2 linked regions of the Ovis aries genome follow. The protein of the gene in region 1 binds, or shares a complex with, the protein of each later gene. Links are inferred from orthologs where the notes say so. Each region holds a gene or a part of one and is shown on either strand. Other genes may lie near its edges. The genes, in order: BICD2 and BICDL1.

Evidence for each region.
Region 2: BICD2 (region 1) and BICDL1 share a complex: the UniProt entries of both Homo sapiens proteins name them as parts of the tripartite complex. The link is inferred for Ovis aries from reciprocal best matches to the Homo sapiens genes BICD2 and BICDL1.

Annotation. Positions count from the first base shown.
Region 1 is NC_056055.1:28,584,570-28,600,236, forward strand, and holds the start of BICD2 (protein bicaudal D homolog 2), read left to right. Parts: upstream 1-7,207; 5' UTR 7,208-7,353; coding exon 7,354-7,602; intron 7,603-15,667. UniProt on the Homo sapiens protein: Acts as an adapter protein linking the dynein motor complex to various cargos and converts dynein from a non-processive to a highly processive motor in the presence of dynactin.
Region 2 is NC_056070.1:62,529,503-62,544,452, reverse strand, and holds the start of BICDL1 (BICD family-like cargo adapter 1), read right to left. Parts: upstream 11,998-14,950; 5' UTR 11,942-11,997; coding exon 11,504-11,941; intron 5,848-11,503; coding exon 5,632-5,847; intron 1-5,631. UniProt on the Homo sapiens protein: Acts as an adapter protein linking the dynein motor complex to various cargos and converts dynein from a non-processive to a highly processive motor in the presence of dynactin.

The sequences.
Region 1 (15,667 bases):
GCACTTTCATCAAGAGGCTTTTTAGTTCCTTTTTACTTTCTGCCATAAGGGTGGTGTCATCTGCATATCTGAGGTCATTGATATTTCTCCCGGCAATCTTGATTCCAGCTTGTGCTTCTTTCAGCCCAGCGTTTCTCATGATGTACTCTGCATAGAAGTTAAATAATCAGGGTGACAATATACAGCCTTGATGTACTCCTTTTCCTATTTGGAACCAGTCTGTTGTTTTGTGTCTAGTTCTAACTGTTGCTTCCTGACCTGCATACAGGTTTCTCAAGAGGCATGTTATGTCACAACAACAATGATAAGAATGATAATGAACTTCTCTTCAGGAGCAATGTAAGCCAGCAATGTAAGTAGTGCAATAACATTTTAAAAGGACTGGGGTCTAAGTGTGGGGCTGTAAACCTACATATACAGAAATCTAGTCAGAAAATCTTTAGAAAACTAAGGCAAAACACTTTCTTAGACATAGTGAAGAATTCACCTTCAGTAGATTTGTAGTATAGGACATATTTTTTTAAAGTTCTTCAGGAATAAATTATACCAGATTGAAATCTGCAAGGAGAAATAGACAAATCACAAGAGATTCCAACACTCCTCTGAACAACTGAAAGGATGAGTAGGCAGAAAAATCAGGAAAGACAGAGAAGACTTGAACAAGACTTGAACAATATTATCAATGACCTAATTGCTATTGAGAAAATACTCCACCCAAGAAGAGCAGAATATGTATTTTTTTCAAGTGCACATGGAATGATTACCAAGACAGACCATATCTGGGCTATAAAACAATTTAAATTTAAAATAATTTACATAATACAAAGTATATTCTCAGACTACAACAGAATTACATTAGAAATAAATATTAGAAAGATATCTAAAAAGAAAATCACCAAATACTTTTGAAACAAGGCAGTACCTGAACCAATAGAGAAGAGAGCAGGGTACGGCCTTTAAAAGAATGACACAGGGACCTCCCTGTTTGTCCAGTGGTTAAGAATCTGCCTTCCAATGCAGGGGACATGGGCTTGATCCGTGGTCAGGGAACTAAGGTCCCATATGTCATGGGGCAACGAAGGCCACATGCCTCAACTAGAGAAACCTATGTGCCATAACTAGAGATGCCCACAAACCACAACGAAGAGTCTGCATGCTGTGATGAAAATCCTGTATGCCACAACACGAAGACCCAATGTAGCCAAATAAATATTTTTTAAAAATAAAAGAATGCTATAGCCTGAGCGTACAACATAAACTGATTAGAACCAAAAGATCCAAGATGGTGGACAAGTTGAATTCCACTAGACCTTGAGGCTCATTATATACTCATTGTGTCCACTTAAAAAATAATCACAACCTAAAAGCTGAGACATGTTTTGTTTGGTGGGAATTTTTAGGACTTCAGGCCTGGGAGACAGCATCTCAAGTAACCCTGAGAGAACTGCTCTAAGGAGGTAGGGGTGGGGTGGGGTTGAGGAGAGGGGGAGTCAGGTTATTTAGAAGTTTGCAACAAAGGACAGGTAGTCTGAACGTGGAAAGTATTTTTGTGAATTAAAGAAAACCAGATATCTCAAGTTGAGAAATGTAGCACTTTTCTATGTGTGGGAAGATGCAAGAGTCTAGGGTCACTGAAACCTTTCCTTTCGTGCGCATCTAAGCCATTTTTTCAGTCTAAGTTCCTCAGTGCTTACTGTAGGGAGTACTGCAGTCTAATGGCTGCCAGGTCACAAGTATTGTTCTCCTTCCTGAGTGCCCTCAGGGCTCAGAAGTCCACATTTGGAGGGCTGGACATCTTTCTTTACAGATACGGCAGGAAATACTCCTTCTCTCCAAAATCACTGCAGATGGTGATTGCAGCCATGGAATTAAAAGACGCTTACTCCTTGGGAGAAAAGTTATGACCAACCTAGACAGCACATTAAAAAGCAGAGACATTACCTTGTCAACAAAGGTCCGTCTCGTCAAGGCTATGGTCTTGTATGGATGGTCACGTATGGATGTGAGAGTTGGACTCTAAAGAAAACTGAGCACCGAAGAATTGATGCTTTTGAACTGTGGTGTTGGAGGAGACTCTTGAGAGTCCCTTGGACAGCAAGGAGATCCAACCAGTCCATCCTAAAGGAAATCAGTCCTGAATATTCATTGGAAGGACTGATATTAAAGCTGAAACTCCAATACTTTGGCCACGTGATGCGAAGAACTGACTTGTTTGAAAAGACCCTGATGCTGGGAAAGATTGAAGGCAGGAGGAGAAGGGGATGACAGAGGATGAGATGGTTGGATGGCATCACCGACTCGATGGACATGAGTTTGAGTGAACTCCCGGAGTTGGTGATGGACAGGGAGGCCTGGCATCCTGCAGTCCATGGGGTCGCAGAGTTGGACATGATTCAGCAACTGAACTGACTCCATCTCTCAACTGTTTATACATTAGCAAGCTAAAGAACACACACAAAGGCACCATGACAGTTCCAAGGCTGACCAGAAAGTTAAAAATAAGTGTCAAGGCCCACAACCTGGAAATACCCACCCTTTCCCCAAAATAGCTGGAACACTCTTCCCACTTATGAGCTTATGAATTTACCCACCCTACAAAAACTGATAACCCCCATACCCTGGTGCCACTCTTGCCTTCTGAGATGGCCCACACTCTGTCTCTGGAGTGTATTTCTCTCTAAATAAAATCACTTCTTATCACTTTGTCTCTCACTGAATTTTTTCTGTGATAAGATGTCAGGAACCTGAACTTCATTAAGTCTTGTGTGTGATCTCAATTAAAAAACTATGGGTTCAAGTCCCAATCTGAGTTCCACGATTTGCTGACCCCATGGGGCTCCTGGGCACAGAACATTTTGAATCCTCCACTTCTTGTAGGGAATAGACCTTCCTTCAGGTTTGAACATCTGCTAACCAGGGAAAGGATGAGATATAGAGATGAGAGAGGAGCAGCCAAGAAACAACAGTTTTGCCTTGAGCAGGTTCCTGGTTCTACCTCAAGGCAGATACACATGACAATATATTTGAGTTCTTTGAAGAACTAAAACTTCCAACAAGTAGAAGATGTTAGGATTCCAGAGGAGATCACCTGAGGCTAGATTAAAGAAAGCAGAGAAGCTCATCAAGAGATTCATGCTAGTGCTCAGAGAGGGAACTGTCAGGAAGGTAGGAGGGCAAGGCAAGTTCTGGGTCTGTCATTTGCTTAGAGATTGACAAATTGTCAAAGGTGACACTGAGGCTTTTACCCTGAGCTTTCTCATTTGTAAGTGAAGTAGCTCAGTCATGTCCTAGTCTTTGTGACCTCATGGACGGTAGCCTACCAGGCTCCACGATCCATGGGATTTTCCAGGCAAGAATACTGGAGTGGGCTGTCATTTCCTTCTCCAGGGGATCTTCCCAACCGAGGGATCGAACCCGGGTCTCCTGCATTGCAGACAGACGCTTTACCATCTGAGCTACTAGGGGAGCAAAATCCCACACCCTGGGGTGTTGGGAGCATTCAAAGAGATAATGGAGATAAAGTATCTGGCAATGCTGGAGACCCAGTTGGAGCCCAACAAGCAGTGGCCCCACCTCTTATCTTTGCCAATCCCCTATTCCACCAGCCTGACAGGCCACTTCCTGTGTACTTTCTGGGTCTCCACCTGGGTGTCACCTCTGCAGGGAATCTTCTTCTGATGCCTACCCCCCCCCCCGCCCCGATATTGTTACATATCATGACTCTTCCAGGGACAGGCACTCTGTCCCCAATAGCTGTAAGAGTCTTTGCCTGTCCCCGTCTACTGCCATCCTAAGCTTTGTTGTCAATGCCTGCACCAGATTCCCACCTTTTATTCTCTCCCTCCCTCAGGCCAGCCTCATATGAAGGTGTGGAGTTGGGTAGGGGTTTGGAGTTTGGACAGCTTGGGTCAAAGTGAAGTGAAAGTGAAGTCACTCAGTCGTGTCCAACTCTTTGTGACCCCTTGGACTGTAGCCTACCAGGCTCCTCCCTCCATGAGATTCTCCAGGCAAGAGTACTGGAGTGGGTTGCCATTTCCTTCTCCAGGGGATCTTCCCCACCCAGGGATTGAACCCGAGTAACCTCTGAGCCACCAGGGTATCAGTCTTTCATCTTATGTTAATCTCACTCAAACAAGGCTTGTTCCTCCTCACTTCTCTTCCCAATCATCTCTCCCACTTAGACTGACTGGTGAGCACAGGCCTTAGGGCTTTTCAGGACTTGGGACTCCTAAGACCAGGACAGACTGGCTGTTTGGGCATCATACTGCTACTGTGGTTGAATGCCATAAAAGTAATTTTTTAATTTCGTGAGTAAAATATGACATATTCTCCTCAGACAAATAAAACACTAAACCACTAAAAGGAATAAGGGCTCCTTAGAGAAATGGCTGATTCCAGGTCTGGGACACAGAGTATAAGATGATCCTGAAACAACTTTGCTATAATCAAAGAAAATTCTCAAAAATCATGACATGTTGAAAGGATACAGACTCAACTGAGCAGCTTCCACTAGCCAGATCTGCCACATCTGAGCATCTAAGTGAATATGGAGGATAATGGATTATAACTCATTAAGTAAAATGAGAATCCACAGATTCATACCATTAATGAATGAAATATCTTCTCTAAAGTACAAAGTTAGTAAGTCGAACAGGAATGAGGGAAATAGAATAGTTTGGTTAATACTCTAATTTCTTTAGGCAAGAAATATCAATGATAACTAGTCAGCTAAAAGTTTGAGGAGCTCATATAAGTCAATATCAAAAAACCAAACAATACGATTAAAAAATGGGCTGGAAACCTGAACAGATATTTTTTCAAGAAAGACATGTGGATGGCTAATAGGCACATGAAAAGATGCTCAACACTGTTAATTATTAGAGAAATGCAAATCAAAACCTTAATAAGCTATCATCTCACACCTGTAAGAATGGGCTTCCCAGGTGGCACTACTAGTAAAGAACCCACCTTCCAATATAGGAGAGATAAAAAATGTGGATTTAGATCCCTGGGTTAGGAAGATCCCCGGGAGGCAACCCACTCCAGTATTCTTGCCTGGAGAATCCCATGGACAGAGAAGCCTGGCAGGCTACAGGCCATAGGGTTGCAAAGAGTCGCTATCATCAAGACTACAAACAACAAATGTTGGTCAGTATATAGAGAAAAGGGAACTCTTGTAAATTGTTGGTGGGAGTGTAAATTGGTGCAGCCCCTGTGGAAAAACAGTATGGAGGTTCTTCAAAAAGCCAAAAAATAAAACGAACTAGTATATGATCCATTAATTCCACTCCTGGTTTTATATCCAAAGAAAGTGAAAACACTAACTCAAAAAGATACAATTCACCCCAATGTTCACGCCGCCGCCGCTAAGTTGCTTCAGTCGTGTCCAACTCTGTGCGACCCCATAGACGGCAGCCCACTAGGCTCCTCTGTCCCTGGGATTCTCCAGGGAAGGATACTGGAGTGGGTTGCCATTTCCTTCTACAATGCATGCATGCATACATGTTAAGTCGCTTCAGTCGTGTCTGACTCTGTGCAACCCCATGGACAGCAGCTGACCAGGCTCCTCTCTCCACGGAATTCTCTAGGCAAGAGTACTGGAGTGGGTTGCCATTTCCTTCTCCACCCAATGTTCAGAGCAGCGTTATTTACAGTAGCCAAGATATGGAAACAGCGTAAATATCTAACAACAGATAAATGGATGAAGACTATGTGGTATGAAACAGTATTGTCATTAAAAAAAAATAAATTTTGCCACCTGCAACAACATGGATAGACCTATAAGATATTATGCTAAGTGAAATGACACAAAGACAAATACTGTATAACTTTTCTGTAGAAACTAAAAAACAAAACAAACTAGTGAATATAACAACAACAAAGAAAACACTAACAGATAAAGAGAACAAACTAGTGGTTCTTGCCTGGAGAATCCCAGGGACAGAGGAGTCTGGTGGGCTGCCGTCTGTGGGGTCGCACAGAGTCGGATACGACTGATGTGACTTGGCAGCAGCAGCAGCGGTTACTAGTGCGGAAAAGGAAATGGGGAGGGGCAGGATAGGGGTAAGGGATCAAGAGATATAAACCACTATGTATAAAATAAAGCTACAATATATTGTAGAGCACAAGGAATATAGCCAATATTGTATAACTAAAATGGAGTATAATTTTTAAAAATTGTTAATCACTATTTTGTACACCTGAAACATTATAAATCAAATCCACCGCAACAAAATATTAAAAAAGCTTGAGGAGTGACGGACTATCTGTAAAGTGTAAATTGTCTTCTCAGAGGATAGTGATTACAAAGGAGTGACCAGCAGCATCTGGGCGATGGGTTTGCGAGCTTCCTGACAGAATTCTTTGAAAATTTAGCACCATCTCATGATATTCCAGCCAAAGTGCATAACCTACTCTAACCCTGGGGGATGCATCCGTGTGTAAATCTCTGGCTTGCACGCCTCAGAAAGGTCAAGGTCATGAAGACAAAGAGCAGAGTAAAGACAGCCGACTGCCGTTTGAGTGACCCAGGACCAGGTCCTGGGCTGGAACCGTGCTACAAGCACAGCGACGCTATGCTGGAGTCGAGGCCGCGTCTGTGTCGACGGTCCTGAATTGGAACACTGTAGAGCGAATGGAGATGCCTAATTCTTAGGAAACACGCACGCGGCATTTCGTATTTAGCTGGATGCAAGGCGCCTCTTCTGCTAGTGGTTTGACTACTTCTCCCACTGGATAAGGCCCGAACCAGCAGGTTACAATCCTCACCGCCACCCGTCCCGCGGTTCTCCCGACGCTCCGGGCGCTCCACCTCTGGTATATACCGGTGGGCCGCTCCACCCATCCCCTGCCCAGCGCAGTGTGTACCCTCCCCAGCGACCCACCTAAGCACCGACCCCCGCCTCCCACGCCCGGGGGCTGGCAGTGGAAAACACCAGTTTCCGGCTCCGCGACGGCGGACGCGCCGGCCAATCACCGGAGGGGGCGGGAGGGCGTGGGGAACTACGGGCCTTGTAGTCGGTGCGGCGACTGGACCACTACCCCCACAATGCTCCGCGCGGCGGCTGCGAAGGCTACGGGATTGGAAGGGGCCGCCCGGAACGGGGCCCGGGCCAATCACGGGCGGGGGAAGACGGGCGCGGGGCACGACCGGCCTTGTAGTTGCCGCGGGCGGGACTATGGCCCCCAGAGTGCCCCGCGCGACCGCGGGCTCACTGCGGCTGCGCGGCGGCGACGGCGGCGGCGGCGGTGGCGGCGGCTGCGGCCGGGTTGCCGTCGGGCGGGGCGGCGGCGGCGGCGGCGGACAGGAGTCTGGTCTGAGCCTCCGACGGAGCGAGTGGTGCGACTCGGGCCATGGCCACCATGTCCGCGCCGTCCGAGGAAGAAGAGTACGCGCGGCTCGTGATGGAGGCGCAGCCGGAGTGGCTGCGAGCGGAGGTGAAGCGGCTGTCGCACGAGCTGGCCGAGACCACGCGTGAGAAGATCCAGGCGGCCGAGTACGGGCTGGCAGTCCTCGAGGAGAAGCACCAACTCAAACTGCAGTTCGAAGAACTCGAGGTGGACTACGAGGCCATCCGCGGCGAGATGGAGCAGCTCAAGGAGGTAAGGAGAAAGGGCGGCTGGCGCCACGCCCTCCGCGCCCCCCGGCCGTTTCCGACTCCGGACCCGGATCCCTCATCCCATCGAACTGACCTCCGCGCCGACCTCAGAATCGGCCCTTGACCCGAGCCAAGAAGGCGACCCCCGAGGCAGCCGCCGACCCAGGCCAAACTGACCCCTTACCCCGAGTTAGGTCGACCACCAGCCGACTGCTAACCCCGCGCCGACCAGACCTGCACCGGGGCACCCGGAGTCAGTATTGCTTGGCCGTCCCGGAGGCGGCCCTGCGGTGGATGCCGGGCCTTGGGTGCTGTGGGCGATTTGGGTTCTAGAAACCCTGGCCTCCGCGTCAAGGGCTGCGGTGGAGCCTGGTGGTCAGCCTTTCTGCTCTTGATGGCAGGTCTCGGGCGCGGTGGGGATGGTGTCCTCTGCGGTGTTTGACTTTTCGGGTAGGGGGGATGGGGACGTGGGATGCATGCAGGTGGCCGGCTGGGAAACACCAGGCATGTGTCTCCATCATTTCTATGTACAGCATCTCCTGTCTCTGGGCGCAGCTGCCTTCAGCGGTTTCAGCGTCTTTTGTGAGCGCCGGGACACCAGGAAAGGGTCAAGTTGGGGGCTTGGCTTGCATGTGGCCATCACAGCTGGCCAGGGTATCCCACAGGCCTCCCCATGCTCGGCTCTCTGACCACCCTGATGGTTACTTCTCATGGATACAGTGTTCTGTCCACTTCCTGTCTTAGTTGCCCATCCAGGCCCTTTCCCAAAGTTGAGGGACACGTCTGTGGATTTTTTGTCACAGGTGAAGCCTTATCTCTCCTGTGCTGTTTTTACTCTGGGATGAACAGGTTGGACCACTTGGCTACCAAGAAATCTTGCAGTGGTAAAACTGGGCAGTCCTTCCCTGAAGTAGTTCTCTTAGATGATTTTAAACACCATTTCCTATCTCAGTCCTTCTTGACTCCCCAGCCTTGTTGTAGAGGTGGGGAGGGAGAAGTTGACGCTCAGGTTTGGACCCAGGTCTTTCCCCTTACTGGTGATGGGGCTCTGAGCATGAACCTTCTCCCACCGCACCATCTCACCCAGAAAGGGTTCATCTGGGATATATTTTAAAAGGCTAGAGAAGGTGTCAGATATTTAGCCTGTCAGTGTCTGTCAGCCTGTCTTCTCCTTCCCTACTTGATTCTTCCCTTGTCCAGGTGGGCTCTTGGCCCTTGGTCTTAGGATCCACCACATTTGGTGCTTCTCCAGCTGCCCACCTCCCAGCAGCCCTCTCCGTGTGGCCTCAGGCAGGTCCCTAGAGTGTTTTGAGCCTCCATGCCTCACTCGGGAGACCAGTCAGGTCCCCTTCTGATAGTGAAGGGAGTTTATGCATGAAGGTACTTAAATCTGTGCTTGGTGGAACAAGTTCCCTGTTAGTGCCTTTAGAAGACAGATAAGGGTGCCCGAGGAGGATGGTTGTGTAGCTCCTTCAACTTGAGGTCTTGTATATGTCAGCAGGTATTGATACCTCCTCCAAGCCAGCCTTATCTGGCACTAAATCTACTAGAGGGGTGATATGTGATCCCTCTGGCAAAAGCCTCATCTTACTATATGGGGCAGGGGAATGATGGAGGGAGGCTTAGGGGCCTTGAGAAAATGAAGTGGGAGCATCTTAGGTTCACCTTCTCTACACTTCAGAAGGGAGCCTGGCCTTCCCCAGCCCCTCCCCTCTATCTGTTCAGATGGAAGTCTCAGCAGAAGCTAGAGGAAGGTGCATCAGAGCCTCAGTAGGTATTGCCAGAAAGCTCTCACATCAGTTTACTCAAAGTCAGTCAGCCTCTCTAAACCTTTGTATTGTTATACTTCAAAGCATTAACGCTTATTTTAAAAAATAAAGATTTAGGGACTTCCTTGGTGGTCCAGTGGCTAAGATTCCTCTCCCTCAATGCAGGGGGCATAGGTTTGATCCCTGATCAGGGAACTAGATCCCAAATGCTGCTTCAAAAAGAGCTAGTGCAGCTAAATAAATAAAAATAATTGGAAAAAAAAATCAAGATTCAAGGAGACAATATCTATTGGATCTTTTTTAAAATTTTTTCTCCTGTAGAGAGATGAGCCATCTTCATTCTTTTTAAAGCTTTATTTCTTTAACTAAAGTGAGTTCAGTTATTAATAAGTTGTGCCACAGAGGTACCTGTATTCCTGTTTAGCATTTGTAGATAATATTGTCTTAAGGGAGGAAAGCTGACTGGCCTATCGCAGGTGACTTGGTTTGCAACCAGACCTGAAGAGTGTCCTGTGCAGGGCAGTGGTGCTGGCCCTGCAGCCTTTCTCATTTGGTAAGTGTGTGTGTGTCTATGTCCTGCTGACACCATGGTATTAGGGAGGAGGGGTACTAATGGCCCATTTTGCTAGTGATTGAGCCTGGCTTAGTAAGGGCCCTGTCTGTCCCAAGTTCTGCTGTGTCCCTTCCCCACCATGGTAAGGAAGAGAATCAGATAAAGTTTGGTCAGCCATGTGGTGTTTCTTGTCCTTAGTGGCCATGGAACATCTTGCTCTGTGTTCTCAGCTGCAGTTTGAGGAGGGCAGGGGTGCTGGGCTGACAGTTGCTGCCTGTAGGGCTCAGTTAGGTACCGGGAGTGGGTAGCTCTTTGGAATGTGAGGGCCAGTGGTGGGGGTCCTAGTGCAGACGCAGCCCCATCCTCGTTCGGCTTCCAGAGAGCAGGAAGACAAGGTCTGGACGTCCTTGCTGGCTTCTGTGCTACCTAAGGATCTTGGCTGTGCAGTATACTTACATCCCAGGGAACCCAGGGGTGGAATTTTGTGAGCTGCAACCTGTCACAGGCTGGGACTGGTGCCTGGCACACAGTAAGTGCTTACTCAGTAAGCACACACAGTAAGTGTGTGCTGGCTGGTATCTTCAGTTTCTTCCTTCCCTCTAGCTCACCCAAGCCTGGATACCCTTCCTGCTGTCCCTGTCATCGCCTTATCTCTACTCCTTGCGCGGTCTGGAGTGGCCCCACTGCGTCTCCTAGAGTGCAGCCTGAGCCTCTGGCCTGGCTCAGCCTGCACTGCTCCCCTGCTTCCTGATTGCCTTCATGGCCCTCACCATCCCTGCCTCTTCCCAGTCTTGGATCTTGGAAGTCCTGCCTGCCCTTCAAGGCCTGGATGCTTTTCAGAGCCTCCTCTGGACTTGTCTGAGCCTAGCTCTCAGGTGAGCCCACCTGGGTATCCCTCTCATCCTGTAGGCTCAGCAGCCGCATGAAGAACTGTGGCAAAGCTGATGAGAGCAGCTGCTCTGTTCTCTTTGCTTCCTCCTTCCCATCTCTCTTGTATCATAATTTCCTCTCTCAGAGGATGGGGAAACCAAGGTAGGGATGGGTGTGAGTGTCTGAGGAAGGTCCAGTAGCTCAGACCAAGTTGGAAGTGGTCCTTGGGCACCAGGTTCCTGTCCAAGTCTGTAGAAGTTCCAGCGATGAGCTGGCTCCAGAGGAGGGTGATGTGAGGGCTGTTGCCCAGGCTTCACCACTATTGGTGAGTGGCTCTAGCCTCCCTGTGCCCCACCAACTCCTGCAGTCCTCATTCTGACTTTTGGGGTCACTACCCTGTTATGTCTGTTGTACTGCTGTGGAAACTAAGGCACCAAGAAGTTGACTTTGACTCAAGACTGTGAGCCCAGGCAACCTGTCCCCAAGAGAGCGGATACCTGCGGAGGAGGGAAGGTAATGGGAATCCTCTGTGCAAGGCTCAGCCTCCTCAAGTGTTTGTCTTGGGACAGGAAAAGTCCTGATTTGGGCCAAACCCTATGAGGATCCCACTTACCTGAATCCACCCTCAAACTTGGAGCAGAGAGCCATTGGGGATTGGGAGGCTCTGGGAGTCCTTTGGGCCTCTCAGGGCCAGCTGTGTGGTAGTCTGCTGTTAGCGTGAAGAAGCCTGACTTGGGATAGAGGTTAAGTTCCAGGAAGCCCTGCAGGTGCTGAGGCGGCCCTGCTCCCAGGGATCTGATAGTTGGGAGAGGCAGCTTCCAGCATCCAAAGGCAGTGACCATGTAGCCCATTGTGTCCACGTTGCTGGGCACTCCCCACTTTCCTGCCTGTAGAGCTTGTATCTGGTGTGGCATTGTGAAGCAATCTTGAGGGCTCTTCCACTTTTGAAAACTCCAGAGACTCTCATGTCACCTGGCATTCTGTTTTCCTTCAGGCCATGGTGGGTGAGCAGCTGTGTACCACAGTGTTTTGGGGGCGTGACTCTGGACAGGTGGATGGACACACTTAGAAGGAGCTGCTTTTCCATAACTGGTGCAGGTGGGAGGCCAGGCCTGAGAGTGGCTCTGGCTGGGCAGGCGAGGAGGTGCTACATGTGCTGTCAAGGGCTGTGGTTTGCACACTCTGGCTCCAAGGGGCCGACTGGACCCTGCCTGGGCCCTCAGGAGCTATGTGGCCCCAGAGGAATGGCTCTGCCCTCAGGCCAGTGTGCCTGGGGCACTTAGGCAGGTAGTGGCTGAGGCTCCTTGTGTTTGAGCAGCTGCCTCAGAGAGGGCTGTGGCAAGGCAGACAAAGACTCCCGCTGGGCCTTCCCTGCTGAGGGAGCCCAACCCCTTCCTGTGAAGTGGGAGCTCAATTTACCCTTGTCAGCCTGGGGCAGCCACTCCTCAGTCAGACCCGCTTCTCCACATTTGTGCACTGGATAAAGGGCCGGTACACACATTGAAGGTAAAGAAAGATTTGGTTTCTTAGTGAAGTGAAAGTGGCTAGTGGGCAGAGGCTAGATGAGACCCTCCTGGGCCTCAGGCCCCATATTGTCTAATGTTTGGAGTGTGGCCCCTTGAGCTATTCCCTAGAGCCAGAAGTGCCCAGTGTGACCTTCTAGCTGCTGTCCTGGGCATCAAACCTTTTGGTTCTGGCTCTGTTCTGCCCAGGGAGGTGGGCTGACAGATGGGGCTGTAGGAGCAGGGTGAGTGCAGGGACTTGTGGCTGAATGGACAGTCCAGCGTCAGGTGGTTGATGGCATTAAGGAGGAGAAGACGGCTTTCTTCTTTAGAGAGTCAGTTCAGTTCAGTCACTCAGTCATGTCCGACTCTTTGTGACCCCATGAATCGCAGCATGCCAGGCCTCCCTGTCCATCACCAACTCCTGGAGTTCACTCAGAAAGTTATTCATTTACTTTTGCTGTTGTTCAGTCCTTCAGTTGTGACTGACTCTTTGCGACACCATGGACTCTAGCACGCCAGTCTTCCCTGTCCTTTGCTATCTTCTGGAGTTTGCTCAAACTCATGTCTATTAAGTTGGTGATGCCATCCAATCATCTCATCCTCTGTTGCCCCCTTCTCCTGCCTTCAATTTTTCCCAGCATCAAGGTCTTTTCTAGTGAGTTGGCTCTTCCCATTAGGTGGCCAAAATGGAGCTTCACCTTTAGCATTCCTCCTTCCAATGAATATTCAGGGTTGATTTCCTTTAAGATTGACTGGTTTGATCTCCTTGTTGTCTATGGGACTCTAAAGAGTCTTCTCCAGCACCATAATTTGAAAGCATCAGTTCTTCAATGCTCAGCCGTCTTTATGGTCCAACTCTCACATCCGTACATGACTACTGGAAAAACCATAGCTTTGACTAGATGGACCTTTGTTGGCAAAGTGATGTCTCTGCTTTTTAATATGCTGTCTAGGTTGGTCATAGCTTTTCTTCTAAGGAGCAAGGGTCTTCTAATTTCATGGCTGCAGTCACTGTCTGCAGTGATTTTGGAGCCCAAGAAAATAAAGTCTGTCACTGTTCTGATTTTCTCCCCGTCTATTTGCCATGAAGTGATGGGACTAGATGCCATGGTCTTAGTTTTTTGAATGTTGAGTTTTAAGTCAGCTTTTTCACTCGAAAGCATCAGTTTCACATGATACATCCTCTTTCACTTTCATCAAGATCAAAAAGAAATGAGCATGTCTCTGTAGAAATTACGGAATATGTATGGAGGACTACTGGGTATTTCTGCTTGCCAGCTTTTTCTTCCTTTATGTGTGTGTCAGATACATATGGTATTATAAAAACCAGAAAGTGCTTTGAGCATCTATAACAGTTGTTTTTAAGGAGACACAGGGTTTGGGGTTACTCTCTGAGTTGCAGAAAAGTAGGTTTCATTCAACTGGATGAAGATAATGAAGATTTTCATGGGTTTGGAAGCTGCGGTGCACGTCTAGTCTATTGTATCATGTGAAATAATGGTTGTGGTTTGAGTTCTATGGGTTTGCTTTTTGAAAGCAGTTCCCCTCCTAAAGGGTTTCCATCTTTAGGGGATGTTTTATGCACAACCAGAGCAGAGACATTGGCCTGCATGTTCTCCTACCCACTTTGGCTCCTCCAGCTTCGGCAGCCTCTATTCTGTGCCTCACTTCTTCTGTAAGTTCATTGATGTGTTGTGCTGAGAAGGTAACTTTAAAAAAAAAACAAACCCATAATCACAGATTAAGTTTTACACCTCGCAGGATTAACAGTGATTCCTTAATGTTGTCTTTTATCTGGTTGGCATTTGGATTTCCCTGTTCAGTTCATAGTTGCTTTACAGAATTGTTGTACTGCATTATAAAATCCCTGTACTCTACCTATTCAACACTGCTCCACCCCCCAAAAGAACCCATGGCAACCATTGATGCTTTACTTTTTCTGTAGTTTTTTCCTTTTTCTAGAATGTCATATAATTGAAATCATACAGTATGTAGCCTTTTCATGTTGGCTTCTTTCACTTAGCGACATGTGTTTAAGATTGATCCATGTGTTTTCATGGCCTGATAGCTATTTTTATTTAAAAAAAAATCACAGAATTGTTTAGATGTACCATAGTTTGTTTATCCATCCAAACTGGGCATCTTGGTTACTTCCAATTGGGGGTGTTTCCTGACAAAGCTGTTATAAAGCATCCATGTGGAGGTTTCGTATGGACATAAATTATCAACTCTTCGAGGTGAACACCAAAGAGTATGCAACTTTTTGGATCATAGGCTAAGAGTATGTTTAATTTTGTAAGAAATCACTTTGCAAATGCTGCACGAGGCTGTATTCCTGCCTGCAGTGGATGAGAGCTCCTGTTGTTCTATCTCCTTACCTGCATGCGGCATTGCCCGTATTTTGGCTTTTATCTACTACAGTAGGTTATGGGGGCATCTCATAGTTCTCATTTGCATTTCTCTGCTAACATATGATGTAGAACATGTTTTCATGTGTTTGCTTGCTGTTTGTATATCTTCTTTGTTGAGGTGTCTGTTCTGATCTTTTGCTGATTTTAAAATTGAAATATTTGTTTTCTTATTATAGATTTTAAGAATTCTTTATCTATTTTGGATACAAGTCCTACTTTTCACATTCGTCACCTAGTGATTTGGCTTTTCGTTCCCTTAACAGTGTCTTTCACAGAGCGGTTTTTAATTTTAGTGCCATTTTGCTTTCATATTAAGATTGTCATCACCAAACCTAAGGTCATGTAGATATTTTCCTATGTTTCTGTCTAGAGGTTTGATAAATTTTGCCTTTTATATTTAGATCTTAGATCTCTGCTTCATTTCAGGTTGGTTTTTGTGAGAAGTATATAGTCTGTGTCCAGGATTCTTTTTTTTTTTTTTGCACATGGATGTACAAGTTCCAACACCATTTGTTGATGAGACTGTACTTTCTTCATGAAGTTGCTTTTGCTCCTTTGTCAAAGATCAGCTGCCTATTATGTGTGTAGTTCGGTTCTATTGATCTGTGCAATTATCCTTTTTCCAATACTCTACTCTCTTGATTGTATGTTGCTGTGTCCTTTTTATGTGCTAGTGGCGAATCTTCCCCTTAAGGCCTGTGTTTTTGTTGTGTGACTCAGCACAACTGAATGGTGTCTGCTGGCCTGGGTCTTCAGCCCTGCGTTGGCAGGGTTGGTCCTGGTCATCATCAATCAATAGTCATTTTTTTTTTTTTTTAATCTTGAGGAAAAGCAATAGAGTGCAAATTGTTAAAAACAAAAATCACTAGTACAGTTGGTTAGATTTTTGATAGAAGATGAGAAGTGAGACTTCTCTGTGTCTTTTTAAGATGGTCCATGGGAACTTCTGTTTGAGCAGCTC
Region 2 (14,950 bases), on another chromosome or scaffold:
AAAACTCTTGGCTGGTTCTACCTTCTAAACATACACCCCATCTAACCCTTCTCATCACCTCTATAACCAAAGTGACCATCAACTCTCCACTGGAGAGTGGCTTCTTTCCTGACCTCTAAGCTTCTGCTGCTGGCCCCTATAATCCGTTCTCCCACGGTAGCTAGAGTAAAATTTTAAAATAGTTATCGATCAGGTCTTGATACTCCTCTGCCAAAAGCAGATCACTGGCTTCGCAGCACACTGAATAAAACCCCAAATCTGTCTCATGGCAGGAAAGGGCCTACATCATCTGGCCACTGACTACTCCCCTTTGACCTCATCTTCCTAAGCCAACGGCACCACAGTCACATCAGCCTGCTTTCCATTTATTCCTAGGCTGGAGAAGGTGTGGAGAAAAGGGAACCTTCGACACCACTGGTGGGAATGTAAACTGGTGCAGCTGCTAAGGAAAACACTGTGGAAGTTCCTTAAAACTAGAATTAACAATCCGACTCTTGGACATATATCCGGACAAAACTGTTTAATTCAAAAGGATAATGCACCTTTATGTTCACAGCAGCCTTGTTCACAATAGCCAAGACATGGAAGCAGCTTAAATGTCCATCAGCAGATGAATGGATAAAGAAGATGTGGTACAGCCCAGAAATAAACCCACATACCTACCGTCAATTAATCTTCGACAAACAAGGCAAGAATATAGAATGGAAAAAAACAGTCTCTTCAGCAAGTGGTGTTGGGAAAGCTGGCCACTTGCCGGTAAATCACTGAAGTTACAACATATCCTCTCAACATACACAAAACATAAGACATGACACCATAAAACTCCTATAAGAGATCATAGGCCAAACATTCTCTCACATAAATTATACCAATGTTTTCTTAGGTCAGTCTCACAAGGCAACGGAAATAAAAACAAAAAATCTGCACAGCAATGGACACATACCATAGAGAAAATGAAAAGGCAGCCTATAGAATGGGGGAAAATATTTGCAAATGATGTGACCAACAGGGGCTTAATTTCCAAAATATACAAATAGCTTATACAACTCAACGACAAAAAAACAAACAACCCAACTGAAAAATGGGGAGCAGACCTAACTAGACATTTCTACAAAGAAGAAACAAAGGCTTCCCAGGTGGCTCAGTGGTAAAGAATCCACCTACAATGCAGGAGACACAGGTTCAATCTCTGGATTGGGAAGATCCCCTAGAAAAGGAATGGCAACCCACTCCAGTATTCCTGCCTGGGAAATCCCATGACAGAGGAGCCTGGTGGGCTACAGTCCATGAAAGGGTCACAAAGAATCAGACATGACTTACTGACTGAACAACAACAAAGGTATCCTTAGGATATACGCAGCAATGTCGATACTAAGTGCTACAGGATAAACCTAACTCGACTCCCAGGAGGGTCAATTTTACACAAATATTTTTGAAAAGAGATTTGACTAGTAGACAAAACAGTTTTAACATGCTGATAAGTTCTGGGGAAACTTCAGATTCTTCCATCCTCTCAAATTAGAGAATCAACATTGGACTAGACGCAGAAATCTCATCTTCATGATGAGGATATGATGGTTACCCTTTATTGAGCACTCACTATATGCTAGACATCATAGTTAGAGTGTACATACATTACCTCATTCCGTCCTCATAACATCAGAAAATAGTAATAATACTACTGTTTCCATTATACAGAGGACAAAACTAAGATTTTAAAAAGTGGAAAAACTTTCCCATACTCACCAAGCTAGTAAATAGCATAGTTGGTATCTGGTCCCAGGGCTGTCTGGGCTCCAAAGCCTGTGACCTTGATTGCTACTTCAGAAATTTGAAACTGAGGCAAAGGAACCCTCATCAGTCTTAAACCGGAAGAGCCTTAAGTAAGCCACATATCTTTTGGTCCCTCCAGTTTTTCTCAGCTATAAAATTAGGACAATTCCCATCCCTTCCATCATCATAACGTGGCCAAAAGCTTATGAGATATATATCATAGCATTCTATTTTAGAGCTGAAAAGAATCTTGGTCATACAAACACCTGAATATGAATGTTTATGGCAGCCTTATTTATAAAAGCTAAAAAGTGGAAACAACCCAAATGTCCATTTATTAATGAATCAATAAACAAAATACGTTGTATCCATGCAATGGAATATTCTTCAACCATAAAAATGAGGTTTTGATACACACTACAGTGTGGGTGTACCTTGAAAACATTATACTAAGGGAAAGAAGTCAGCCACAGAAGGCCACATATGTATGATTCTATTTACATGAAATGTCTAGAATAGACAAACCCATCGAGATAAAAAGTAGATTAATGGTTTTCAGGTGTCAGGGTGTGGGATGGGGATCAGGAGGAGTGAGGAATAACTGCTAATGGGCACAGGCTTCCTTTGAGAGGTGTGAGATGTTCTATAATTAGATAGTGGTGATGGTGAAATTGTACTGTTAAAAAGCACATATTATGGTATATGAATCCTATCTCAACAAACAAACATTAAGAAAAACCATGGAGGCCATGGCAGCGAAGGAAATACATTTTAAAATACTTTGGAAGAATCAATCAGCTATACTTCAACAAAAACAATACTCTGGACAAAGCATCACGGAAATATCAACACATTTTAGATACCATACATTTCATGCTAATAAAAACACATTATTCACTCTGTAAGAAAAGCATGGCCTACTACTACTTTTGCCGGTTGTTAACTTGTTCTAAAAGAATCTTAATTCACTTCAAACTACTCCACTCCTCTAGTTCCTGAATACTCAGTTAATAAAATGATAATAAAATGCAATCTAAACTGGCTGCTGATGGAAACCCAAGGGGCTTGGCCTGCTTAAAGAGAGAAAAGAAAAAAGCCACAAAACTCACCAAGGGCCTACATTCAAGGCCAGAGAAGACAACAAGAATCTAGATCTAGTGGAAATGCTATCCTCCCATATTCTTCTGGGAACCACGTATCAGAATTGTCTATGGAAAAATTAGGCAGAGGAGTCTCAACTATAAAAATACTACCTTAGTAAAATAACCATCAGCACCAAAACAAATTCTTGAACTTCATATTCTGCTTAACCTAAACATATTATCTCATTTCGATTTCAACAGCACTTGCATTAGACACAACTTTTTACCCCCATTTCAAAGATAAGGAGAGGAAGTAATAAACAAGGTCACCCAGTAAAGAAGCAGAGTCAAGATTCAACACGCATCCGAATTCTAACTTGCTTTCTCCCACCACCTATCTTTCACCGGATCAAAAAGCAGAGTTGAGGCGGCTTCTGCTCATGTCACTTTGTAACATGAACTCAGCTCCCAATAAATAATTTCCTCTTAAATTGTTCTGGTTTGTTGTATTCCTTTCATAAGTCTCCATAAGAAACATTAATTCAGAATAAGTATTAAATGTTTTTGAACAAATAAATCAATCTGGCCAGGTTGACCTGGTCAATCTTTAATGAAAGGACTTCCCTGGTTGTCCAGGGGTCCTGGCCAATGCCGGGAACACTGGTTCAATTCCTGGTTCAAGAACCAAGATCACACATGCTGCAGAGCAACCAAGTCTTCACGCCGTAACAACTACAGTCTGCACGCCCTAAGCCACCACGGTGAGAAGCCCGACCACTGCAAGTGGAGAGTAGCCCCTGCTCGCCACAACTAGGGAAAGCCCATGCGGCAGCGAAGACCCAGCACAGGCACAAATCAATGATTTGAAAAATTTTCTCATGAATGATGGATGAAGTCTCAAAAACCTATAAAATCTTAAAAGGACAGAGATTCCCTTCCCAGTTGCTGAAAAAGGTTTTAGAACTGACTCTGAAAGGCTCCTGAGCTGGCCCTATAATGACTTCCTGAAGAACTGTCAAGCCCTTCCTTTCCAGACAATCAAATGGCAGTCTGATTCCCCAGCGAGAAGCTTGCAGGCAGCTCCACCACCACCTGAACTCTCACCTTCCCATACATTCTGAGAGCTCCTGTGACTCGCTCTTTCCCAAGCTTTTGCCATCTCTCCGCTTCGGTCTCTCCCCTGCCCTCTCTAGCCCCTGGCGCCCTTGGTTCCATCCTCTCCTCCTGTTGCCTCTCCTCCTTCCTCTCCCTTTCTCTAGTGGTAGCATTTACTTTGTACTTCCTGGTGAGGCACGAGGTTTAGACCAGTCTCAGGGTCCCCATGCACCTGGAGGAGGGCATGGCAACCTTACAGTATTCTTGCCTGGAGAATCCCCATGAACAGAGGAGCCTGGTGGGATACAGCCCATGGGGTTTCGAAGAGTTGGACACGACTGAGCGACTAAGCACAGCACAAGGTCCCCATGAGAAGCAACTAAGATACAACCTAGTGAAATAACTTCACATGCTGCTCTAGCTGAGCCTTTCCCAGAGGCCTAAGCACCAAACACTAAGCATGCGGACAAGGGCAGTGCTCTCCTAAGAGCATCTGTGCTTAGGGATGCGATCAGAGTAGAAGTTCTTTTTTCCTCTAAAACAAGTAACTGAACTCGTTTTATTTTCAATACATAAGAAGGCACGAGGTATAAAAGTAAATCCAGCTCTTAATTTTCAAAAGTAAGTCTTTAGAGACCAGGGCATTAACAACATTCCTGTATTTGTTAAAAGGTGTGCTCGTATTTAAGTTAGATTTCCACCTACTCAGCTCTCATACTCCTTCTTTGCATTGATTTTACAATCTTGACTTTGATTAATTAATACTTCTATGACACCACACTATAAAGGTACAAATAAAGAACTTCTACTTAATGTAGAAATAAAGAGAACACGTTTTATATATACAGCTACACATACCTCCTTTCATATTTAAATAATAAGAAATGTACATTCACAGTGAAAATCATTTGCTCTAGAAATTTTCCCTAAGCTTTTCAGTTTAAAGATGGCACCATTTGGACCTTCCTGGTGGCCCAGTGGTTAAGAATCCACCTGCCAATTCAGAGTACACGGGTTCCATCCCTGGTCCAGAAGATCACACACGCCATGGAGCAACTAAGCCCAAATGTCATGGCTACTGAGCCCATGGGTCGCAACTACTGAAGCCTGGGCACCTAGAGCCTGTGCTCCACAAGAGAAACCTGCACACTGCAGCTAGAGGGTAGCCCCTGCTCGCTGAGACTGGAGAAAGTCCAAGCACAGCAACCGAGACCCAGGGAAGCCAAACATAGATCAATTAATTAATTTTAAAAGAAAGAAAAGAAAAATGGCAAATTTATTATTTTTTAAAGATGGCACCATTTAATATCCGAACTAAATGCATTAATATAATTTTACCAGTGGCAGACTTTCTCTAGGTAAAAGAATCACAGACTTGTAGAGCTATAAGGAACATCAAATCATTAATGAGATAGACTCCCAAGTTAAATGATTGCCAAAAGCTCACAGTTGGCCTGTGACAAGCAAGGGTCTTTGCTCCTGGCGTCTAGTTCACCCCAGTTGAAATTCTCAGAGGTGAAAAACACTTGACTTACCGGTATCAATACCAAAGGCAACAAAAAGGAGAACTACTCTTACCATATATATGATGACATTAAACAGAAGCTCTGTTTCAACTTTTAGTATTTTATACCACAAATTCTTTTTTTCTAATACCATAAGTTTTTAACTCGTGACTCACCCTGCTGAGTTGGTCCAATAACCTTTGGTTCTGTTCTGATAACTCCTGGACGGCCCGTGTTTTCTCTCGATCTGCTTCCCGTAGATGAACCTGCTGCCTCTCCAGCTCATCCTGAAGCTGCTTCACATCACTTTCCAGCTCAGACACACGCCCTTCCCACTCGCCTTCTCGGTTCTCAAATCGTCTTCTTAGTTCGTGCTTCTCTTGTTCTAAGTGCTGGGTGAAAATGAAGAGGATTTTTAAACTGCTAAAAAATTCCAGAGTCGTTAATTTTTTTTCTCTTTTCACACTCTTCTAACTTTTCTTTTTCCTAGTCAGTCAGCACAACAAAACACTCTGCCACGTAGGACAAGTTGCCCATTTCACAGCTGCAAAAATATCCCTTTCAGCCAGAGTAGGGAAGGCTAACTTCACAAAGAGAACGCCATTCCTACTGAAATACTTAATGTTATTATGTTTATTCCTGTCCTTGGGCATCGGGGTTCTAGATTTAGGAACTCACCTGAAATTTAGTAAGTCATCTATTAATCAGTGAAATATACATTTAAGCAACTTAAAACAAGCCCTTGAGAAAGTTTCTTTTGCTGTCATCTGTTATGCTTGGCATAATACCAGGCACTTAGAATTTTCAGAGACAGAAAGGACTTCAGAGATCCTCCAGATCAACCACTTCTTAAAATGAAGCCACAGAAGAGATTCTGCAACCAGCTTAAGGTCTGTTCTAGCAAATGCTCCCGTTTGGGAGCTGGGATTGGGGTCTCTCTCACTTGACTGTTTAATGCTCAAAATCACAACTCAATAAATATTTGCTGCTCTATATAGCACTGCATTTTGAAATCATTAAGCAAGTTCAGGCCTACTTTTATTAAATCATGGCCTACAATCCTTGCAAATTTATTTCTGATTCATTCATTCCTGAGTGCCTGTTATAGGTTAGTCACTGAAATAATGTTGAGCAAAAGAGACTTGGTCTTTCCATTTATGGGGTTTCCACTCTAGTGAGAGGTTGATGAAAGTATTATGTTGTACAGTGTGACAAATGGTATACAGGAAAAGTACAGATGGTTTGAAGGAGCAACAACAGAGAAGAACTCTTTTTGGGTTGAAGGAAATAAGAACATCTTTTTGTTTCTCTAAGATAAATACGAATGCCTCTTTTCAGAGGCAAGTATGTTCTCCTACTTAAAAAGCATGGTATGAGGACTTCACTGGTGGTCCAGTGGTTAAGAATCCACCTTGCAATACAGGCTGATGTGGGTTCGATCCCTAGTCCAGGAACTAAGATCCCACAGGCCTCAGAATGGAACGACTAAGCCTCCATGACACACTGACTGACCTGTCCCACAACTAGAGAGCCCATGTGCCACAACTAGGGAGTCCATGCAGCACAACACAACAAAAGATCCCACCTGCAGCAGCTAAGGCCCAAGGCAGCCAAATAAATAGATTTTTTAAAAAATAAACAATAAAAAAAGCATAGCAAGCACCAAAAAACCAAGTAAATACCTCAGAGTAAATGAGATGCATATGAGAAGTAAAGCAATGGTCCTCAACTTTTGCTGTCAGAAAATCTCTGGTATAATTGTTCAAAATATATCTTAAACACTAATTCCAGACTATGATTCAGTAAAGAATGGGATGAGGCCTAGGAAGGCATCTGTCTATCTACCCATTCATCTATTTAGGTTCTATTGGAAATTCTGATGCACTAAAGGCTGACTATCAAGCACTGAGATTGTTTCAACAAGCTAAGATGAGCAATTGCATCTTCTCCTTCAGCGTACTCAGATTCACCTTGTGAATCTACACTCTTATTCTATCCAAGTTCTCACCTTTCAAATATTTTTTAGGATACCTCTTTTGGAAAGCCTTAAGGGGCAGTGTATAGTTATACAAGAAAATCAGTCTCATTATTCCACATCTGAGATGTGCCTAAAAAAAGATTTTTCTCTCAAGAGAGGGACTTACACTTCTCAGCATGAAAATCTTCTGTTCTATGCTTCCTTCATTTTGCTAAACTTCCAAAAATGAGGATGTTTTAGTCACTACACAAACTTCAGAAAGATGAGATGCAGAAGTAAGTGGTAATTACAATTCTAAAATTGTGATACTTGGTTTTATTGAGTTTTTCCAAAATGGAAAAGACTGAGCAGAAGGCAACAGCAAGAACTCAGTAATCACAGTATTACTGAGAGGCCAGATAAATTAGGCTTGTGTTCTAAAAGAACAGAGAGACTTAAAAATACTCCACAAACAGCTGTTAGTGAACAGCCCAACTAAGCGACTAAAACAATCTAATCCACATGCAGGAAGTGAGGCAGGGTTGAGGACAAGTGGCGCTGATCAATCTATTCTGTCCTTACATTTCTTCCTTCCAGGTTTCCCAACACTCTGGGAAAAAAAATCAAGACTTTCCTATTAATGAACATACAGAACTTAGCCTTCTGTCTATTCTGAGAAAAGAAAGGTTTCTCCTAGAATTACATTTTCAATGAAGTGCTAAATTAACCAATAAACTCTAGGAAGAATATCAGAAAGTGTAGCAGTCAGGCTCTGTCCATGCTATTCCCTGCTTCTTGGGGTTACACTGTACTTCAAAAGGTAATATCTACACCTGAAACTAATATAATGCTGTATGTCAATTATACCTCAATAAGAAATTGAAAAAAGTTAATGTCAAAACTGTCAAGGTCATCAAAAACAAGAGAAGTCTAAGAAACTGATACAGGAAAAAAGAGACTAAGAAGATACAGAAACTAAATGTAAGGGTATCATGAAACAGAACAAGACATTTGGCAAAGGCTAAAGAAATCTACATGCTAAGTCATGTCTGACTCTTTGCGTTGCCATGGACTATAAAGTCCATGGAATTCTCTAGGCCAGAATACTTTCCCTTCTCCAGGGGATCTTCCCAACCCAGGGATCGAACCCAAGTCTCCCGCATTGAAGGCAGATTCTTTACCAGCTGAGCCGCAAGAGAAGCCGAAAGAAATCTAATTAAACTAAATGAAAAAGTTAAAGCGTTAGTTGCTCAGTCGTGTTGGACTCTTTGCAAGCCCAGGGATTGTAGCCTGCCAGGCTCCTGTGTCCATGGAATTCTCCAGGCAAGAATACTGGGCTGGGTAGCCATTCCCTTCTCCAGGGGATCTTCCTGACCCAGGGATGGAACCCGGGTTTCCTGTACTGCAGGCAGAGTCCTCACCATCTGAGCCACCAAGAAAGCCTCATAGCTAATAATAATGTATTAGTATTGATTTACTAATTATGGCAAGTACTGGGGGCAGGGCATATGGAAACTCTGTCCCATCTTTTCAATTTTTCTGTAAATCTAAAACCATTCTAAAAACAGTTTATTTAAAACTCTAAGAAGTTAGTATCACTAGCTCACCTAAAATTGGTTGTTACAGAAATGGACTTCTGCCATGAACCAAAACAGCATATTATTCTCCTAAGTCCAGCATATGGTTCTTGAAAAATACAAAGAAAAAAAAATACTATTTAAGTGGATCAAGCACTGAATGCAAATAAGGACTCCTGCATTTGCTTACCTAAATCTACTACCCAATTATGTAATCATTTTCACCTTACTTTTTTTTAACAAAAAAGTTTAACAAGAACATTTATTCTCTTTTTTTGGCCATATTGAACAGTATGCGGAACTTCCCCAACCAAGTATCAAACCCGGACCCCTGCACTGGCAGATTCTTAATCACTGGGCCACCAGGGAAGTCCCATCATTTTTTTTTTTTTTTTTGCCTCTTAAAAAAAAATAGTGCTAGAATCATTAGAATTGGACTAGGAAGAGGGAAGAAAATGTAACCTAGGGAAGAGACTCCCTCTGCATTAAGAGAGAATTCACTCTTACCTGGAATGGGGGAAAAAGAGAATCCTGGGCTTTAAAAACATATTTTTAAAAAACTAAATAAAGATTAAATCTCTGAAGAAAAAAGTATATAAATGTAAGTTAGTGCCTTAGATCATAGCATACATAACATAAAATTTATCACCTTATCCATTTTTAAGTGTACCGTTAGTTCAGTAGCCCTGAGTCCATTCATACCGTTGTGCAACCAACTTCCAGAAATTAAAAATAAACCTTTAACACTTGAGTTCATATGCTGACCTGAGAGGAGTGAAGATTTTTTAAAATAGTTTAATAAGAGTTTTAAACTATTTTAATATCATCTATCAAGTCAATAGCAAAAAGTCAAATGTAATTTATTCTTCTACAGTATAACCTTTCTTGTTACAGAATTTGAAAATCTTTTTCCTTTGGTGAAGACATGTATAAAGATTCCAAGTGGAACCCAGGATGTGTTTAACTACATATTTAGGATTACCCTTGAAAACTATCACTCATCAAACCAACTGATATGATGTTCAAGACAGCTGTCTCTTTAATCAAGTCTCTCACTGAAGGGATTTCAAATCACAAGCATACATCTCTGCAGTAGTACTTCTATTTAGAGTCTGTAATCTAATCTCTTTTTCAAAAAAAAGACACCCTTTTAGTCTGAGACGTCTACTTCAAGTGAAAATCAAACAATTCAATTCATTGGGTTGCTTTTTGGCAATCTACAAACAGGTTTCACAAACCACTTTTCAGAGAGGTATCTCAGGAGTTCACCGACTGGCAGACCTAGTTAACAGGCCAACTGAACTACAGGGCACTCACTGGTTTCCTTTTTTTTCCCTCTCTTATTTATTTTTGATATGTTGTTGGACTACAGACATACTTACTAGAGAAAAATTTCTGAATCTACACTCTGACCATTTGCCCAGTAGCAGTGATATGGAACCAGGCAATGGTCAATTTCAAACCGTATTCAGGGCTGTACTATTCTCTTGTAACAAGAATAAAAAGAACTCATTGCCACCAAACTGGGAGACAATATTAAATGCATAGACAGAAAAAGATAAGCTCATCGCCACTGCCACAGATGCACCTCCCCATCTTCACTTAAGAAAAAAAGACTCTCTCTAAAAACTTTTTTAGAAGTGGTGGCCACTTGTATTAGTTTCAAGGCCCTTTTCTAGTTAAGGGCAAGAAAACAGAAGCAAAAGACTTTGGTCCAGAGAATTGGCAGAATCTTACAGATATTTTAAGGGGTATTTATAACAATGGTTAAAGTTATATGGTTCTCACAAGTTGCATTTGGCCATCCAAATGCGTGTGTGAGACCCAGAACAGAAACAAAAGTACTGTTTAAATACATATACTGTTTAAATACATATATATACTGAAGTCCACATCAAATCACAACCGTCACATGTTGAGCCCAGGCTCACCTGATTTCTGCAGTGGAACCATATTTCCTAATCCGTATCTGAAGGCTATATAAAGCTCCTTTAGGGGCACTTGTTTCCCACCATTCTGAGCTGAGGGGAAGTTAAGACAAGGGCATGTGGAAGCCCTTAACTCCAAAGCTAAAAAGCTTTAGGCTAACACCCTGATTAGCGATTAACTACCTCTCTGAAAACCTGGAGCATATTTTAAATGCTTTCCGGCTCTGTAATTTCTGTGTGCAGGCATCACCTCAGTGCTGTATAAATTAGTCATACTGTAAGCTCTATTTTAGATGCTGTGTACAGTACATATATAGAACGGCCCACAGCGTTTGGGGCCGTGCATGGGCCCATTTGCTGTGAGCAGGGTAAGAAAGCCAGGTGTGTTCAAAGAATGCCCTCGTCTGATAACCCCAAACCCTCCATGCTACCCACCTCCCAGGTGGCTTTCTGTTAAGACAAAATAAGCAAGGAATGGGGTGAGGTGGGTGACTGCCTGGCTCCCGAAGCTACCCAGGGTCGGCGGGAGGGTACCTGGGCTCCCCCCTCTCCCGCTTCCCACCTATCCCAGGAGGGACGTCCTCACCTCCAGCTTATCAGTCAGTTCCTTGTGCATCTGTTCGTACTGCCGGCTCATGTCCTGATTCCTCTCGAGCAATGCCTTGCCCAATCGGGCCGCCAAGACCAGATCCTTCTCCTTCTGCCGGATCACTGACAGCAGCTCGGGATCCTGGGCGGGCGGCGGCTGCAGTCCGGCCGCCTCGGCTGGAGGCCCGGGCTCGGCCTGAGGATGCTCCCCGGGCTCGGACGGCCGTTCCCCAGCCGCCAGCAGCGCCAGCTCCTCCTCTAACGCCAGTTCCAACTCCCCGCGGCCCCCGGGGAAGGAGACGAGGGCAGCGGCGGTGGCGGTGGCTGGATTCCCGACTGCGTCCGCGGCCGCGGCGGGCAGCTCCATGCAGCAGGCGCTGTCCGGCTCGGAGGGTGCTGAAGCGCGGCCGGCCAAGCCCAGGCAGAAGGCGGACATGGCCCGCGCGCGCCGAGCCCGCAGCGGTGCGGCCCGGCCGGCGCGCGCCAGGCTGCAGGGGGGAGGGGCCCCGCCGCGCCGCCCCGCGCCTCGCCTCACGCCGCGGCACGCGCCCCTCGGGTCTCCGCGAGCCCTGGGCGCGGCGCGCGCCGGCCCGCCCCTCCCCCGCGCCGGCGGCACGCGCCCCCTCCCCCCGCCCCCGGGCTCAGCTGCTCGGCGAGCGTCGGGGAGGAGGAGGAGGGGGGGTGGCAAAGGGAAGGCTGAGGAAGGGAAGACTGCGGGGACGCGAAGCGGGAGGGGAAGTTGCGGGGAGGAAAGCCGCCCTCGCCGCCGCCGCCGCCGCCGCCGCCGGGTTTTCAGCCACCCTGTTGCTGCTGCTCCCGCTGCCGCCGCCGGCCGGGCAGCGCCTCACCGGGCGGGCTGCGCTCCGCTGTCGCTGCGACGCTCGCTGCTGCTGCCGGCGGCCGCTCTCTGCAGCCGCGCTCCATGTCCCTCGGCTCGGCGGCAGCCCCAGCAGCAGCAGCGGCGGCGACGGCGGCTGCTGCAGGCGCCGAGGCGGCGGCTCCACATCGCGCACCGCGCGGCCCGGCGACCTCCTTCCTGCCTGCCTCAGCTCTCTCCAGTTCCACCGGGCCGGCCGCGCCGCGCCCCGCCCCGGGCTTCCGGCCGCGCCCCCTCTCCCCGCCCCTTGCCGGCGCCTGACGCGCACGGGCACCTGTTCGCCGCGCCCGCGCGCGATTCGCCGGTTCGTGGGTCTCCTCAGCGGCGCCCAGGTGGCGCCGGCAGCCTTAACCCCTGCGCTGCCTCACGCCCGGGGGCGGCTGCGTGCGCAGCCAGCGGAGACGGCCGGCTCATCCGTAACGGTCCGGGCGGCTCCTCGGCGCGGCCACGCCCCCGGCCTCGCGTCCACCTCGCGGTGTGGCTCCGCCCCCGGCACGCTCACCTCGGGGTGTGGCCTCGCGCGCACCTCCGAGAACGGCCCCGCCCCCAGCCTCGTTCTCACCTCAAGGCCTGGCCCCGCCCTCGACCTCTCTCGGAACTCTGGACTGGCGAGCTTCTCTGGGTGCGATGGGTCTCAGTCTTAGGTGGTTGGTCTCCAAAGGGGACTGAGGACGTTTCTCCAAGACGGGTGGCCAAGCCCGACGGAGACTTGCTGCCACGGACTGTGGGTCTGAGCCCCCGCGAGAGCTAAGCAGTCAGGAGAGGGAGCCCTAGAAAGCAATAGAAGGGACGACTTCAGAAATCCAGCGTCTCAATGATGATGACTCAGGGATATAAGAAACTAGAAGCCTCGGAGATCAGCAGCTCCGAAAGAAAGGGGTGCTGTTGAGAAATAACGGGGAAAAAATGCTCACAAATGGGAATGCGAAGCAAAGACCCTCCTTAATAACTTCTGTTTATTAGGCACTTAGTGTGTGCCATGCCTCGTGCTCTATAGGCATTATCTTAGATAATCCTCACAAGAATCTTAAAAGTCAGTACTGTCACTCTTATCATTTTACAGAGAAGGAAACTGAGGCCCTGAGATACAGAATCAGATCTAGGCAGACTGGTATATAAATATACCATTATTTACTTTCCTCACATACAAGTCTTGAGGAAGATAAGTAGTAATTTGTGACCAAGATAGCCTGGGTCAGTATCCACGGTTCTATCAGGAAAGCTTCCTGCAATGATCAAATCAAGGACTAAAGAGCCTAATGGGTGATTCCAGTCAGTTCTTGCTTTGACCTCATCGGTGATGCTCTGTCTCCTGTTTTCAGGAACAACCCCATCTGAGGCTAGAATTTGTCCTTGTTCTTTCCCTTTTCTTATGGACAACAATCCATTTTTGAGTTAGATCACTGTTTGATCCTTTTCATCACAGTGAGATGGAAATTTTCAGGACACCAATTGGCTAAAATGAGTCAAATGGTTTCTCATGGCTTTTTCTCTTATTAAAGTCAAAGCCTAAAAAAAAAAAGTCAAAGCCTAAACAAAACTCCGGTACATACATCACTTTTTACCTTCCAACTGAAGGTGTGAAACCTGAAGGTCCTGAGCCTTGGGGATGACTCTGTTCTCTAGTTGATTGAAAAGGAGACAGACAATAGAGGGCTTCACACATCTTAGAACCAAGTTTTGAAAGTTGACGGTGGTATCATTCCAACAATACATTGTTCTAGCAGTTGAGCAGAAATAGTGGGTCCATGGTGAGACCCACCTGCAAATCCCTTTTGTCTTTTTTGATCAGGAAAGAAGTTGCTCCTGAAAATAGATTAGGGACACACATATCAAGAGCAAACAAAATCCTAATCAAAAGGGGTTTCAGGTATTTATTTTTCCTTGAAGCAGACTTGCAGCCTATCTCTCCCCAGAGGTTTTTGTCTTGCCTTCCTTAAGCTCGATGGTCCTACTCTATTAGACTTGCCTGTTACTGTGAGAATGAACTTTCACAATGCTAACTCTCATTTCTGAAGAACATTCCTCACAATGTTCCCCTGCCTAATCTGACTAGGAAGCAATCATTTTCTACTACAACTTTGGCCCTAAAGTACCATCTTCCTGTGAATAGTCAAAGGAGACCAGCCCAAGTTTGGAGAACTATTTAGAATAGTGGTTCTTACCCTTTTCACTCTCAGAACCTCTTTACACTCTTAAAAATCATTGAAGATCTCAAAAATGTTTAGTTTATATTGGTTTAGATAGTGGTATTTACTGTATTAAAATTAAAACTGAAAATTTTTAATTCTTATTTTAAATACTTATAATAAACCTATTAAATGTTAACATAATATAGTTAATAAAAGATATATATTCCCAAGTTTATTTTTTTAAGCTTCTTATTTTGTATTGGGGTATAGCCAATTAATAAACAATGTTGTGATAGTTTCAGGTGAACAGTAAAGGGACTTAGCCATACATATATGTGCATCTATTCTCCCCCAAACTTCCCTCCCATTAAGGCAATTCCCAAATTTAAAAAGTGAGCAAAGAGGAATGGCATTATTTTTCATTTTTATAAAATCT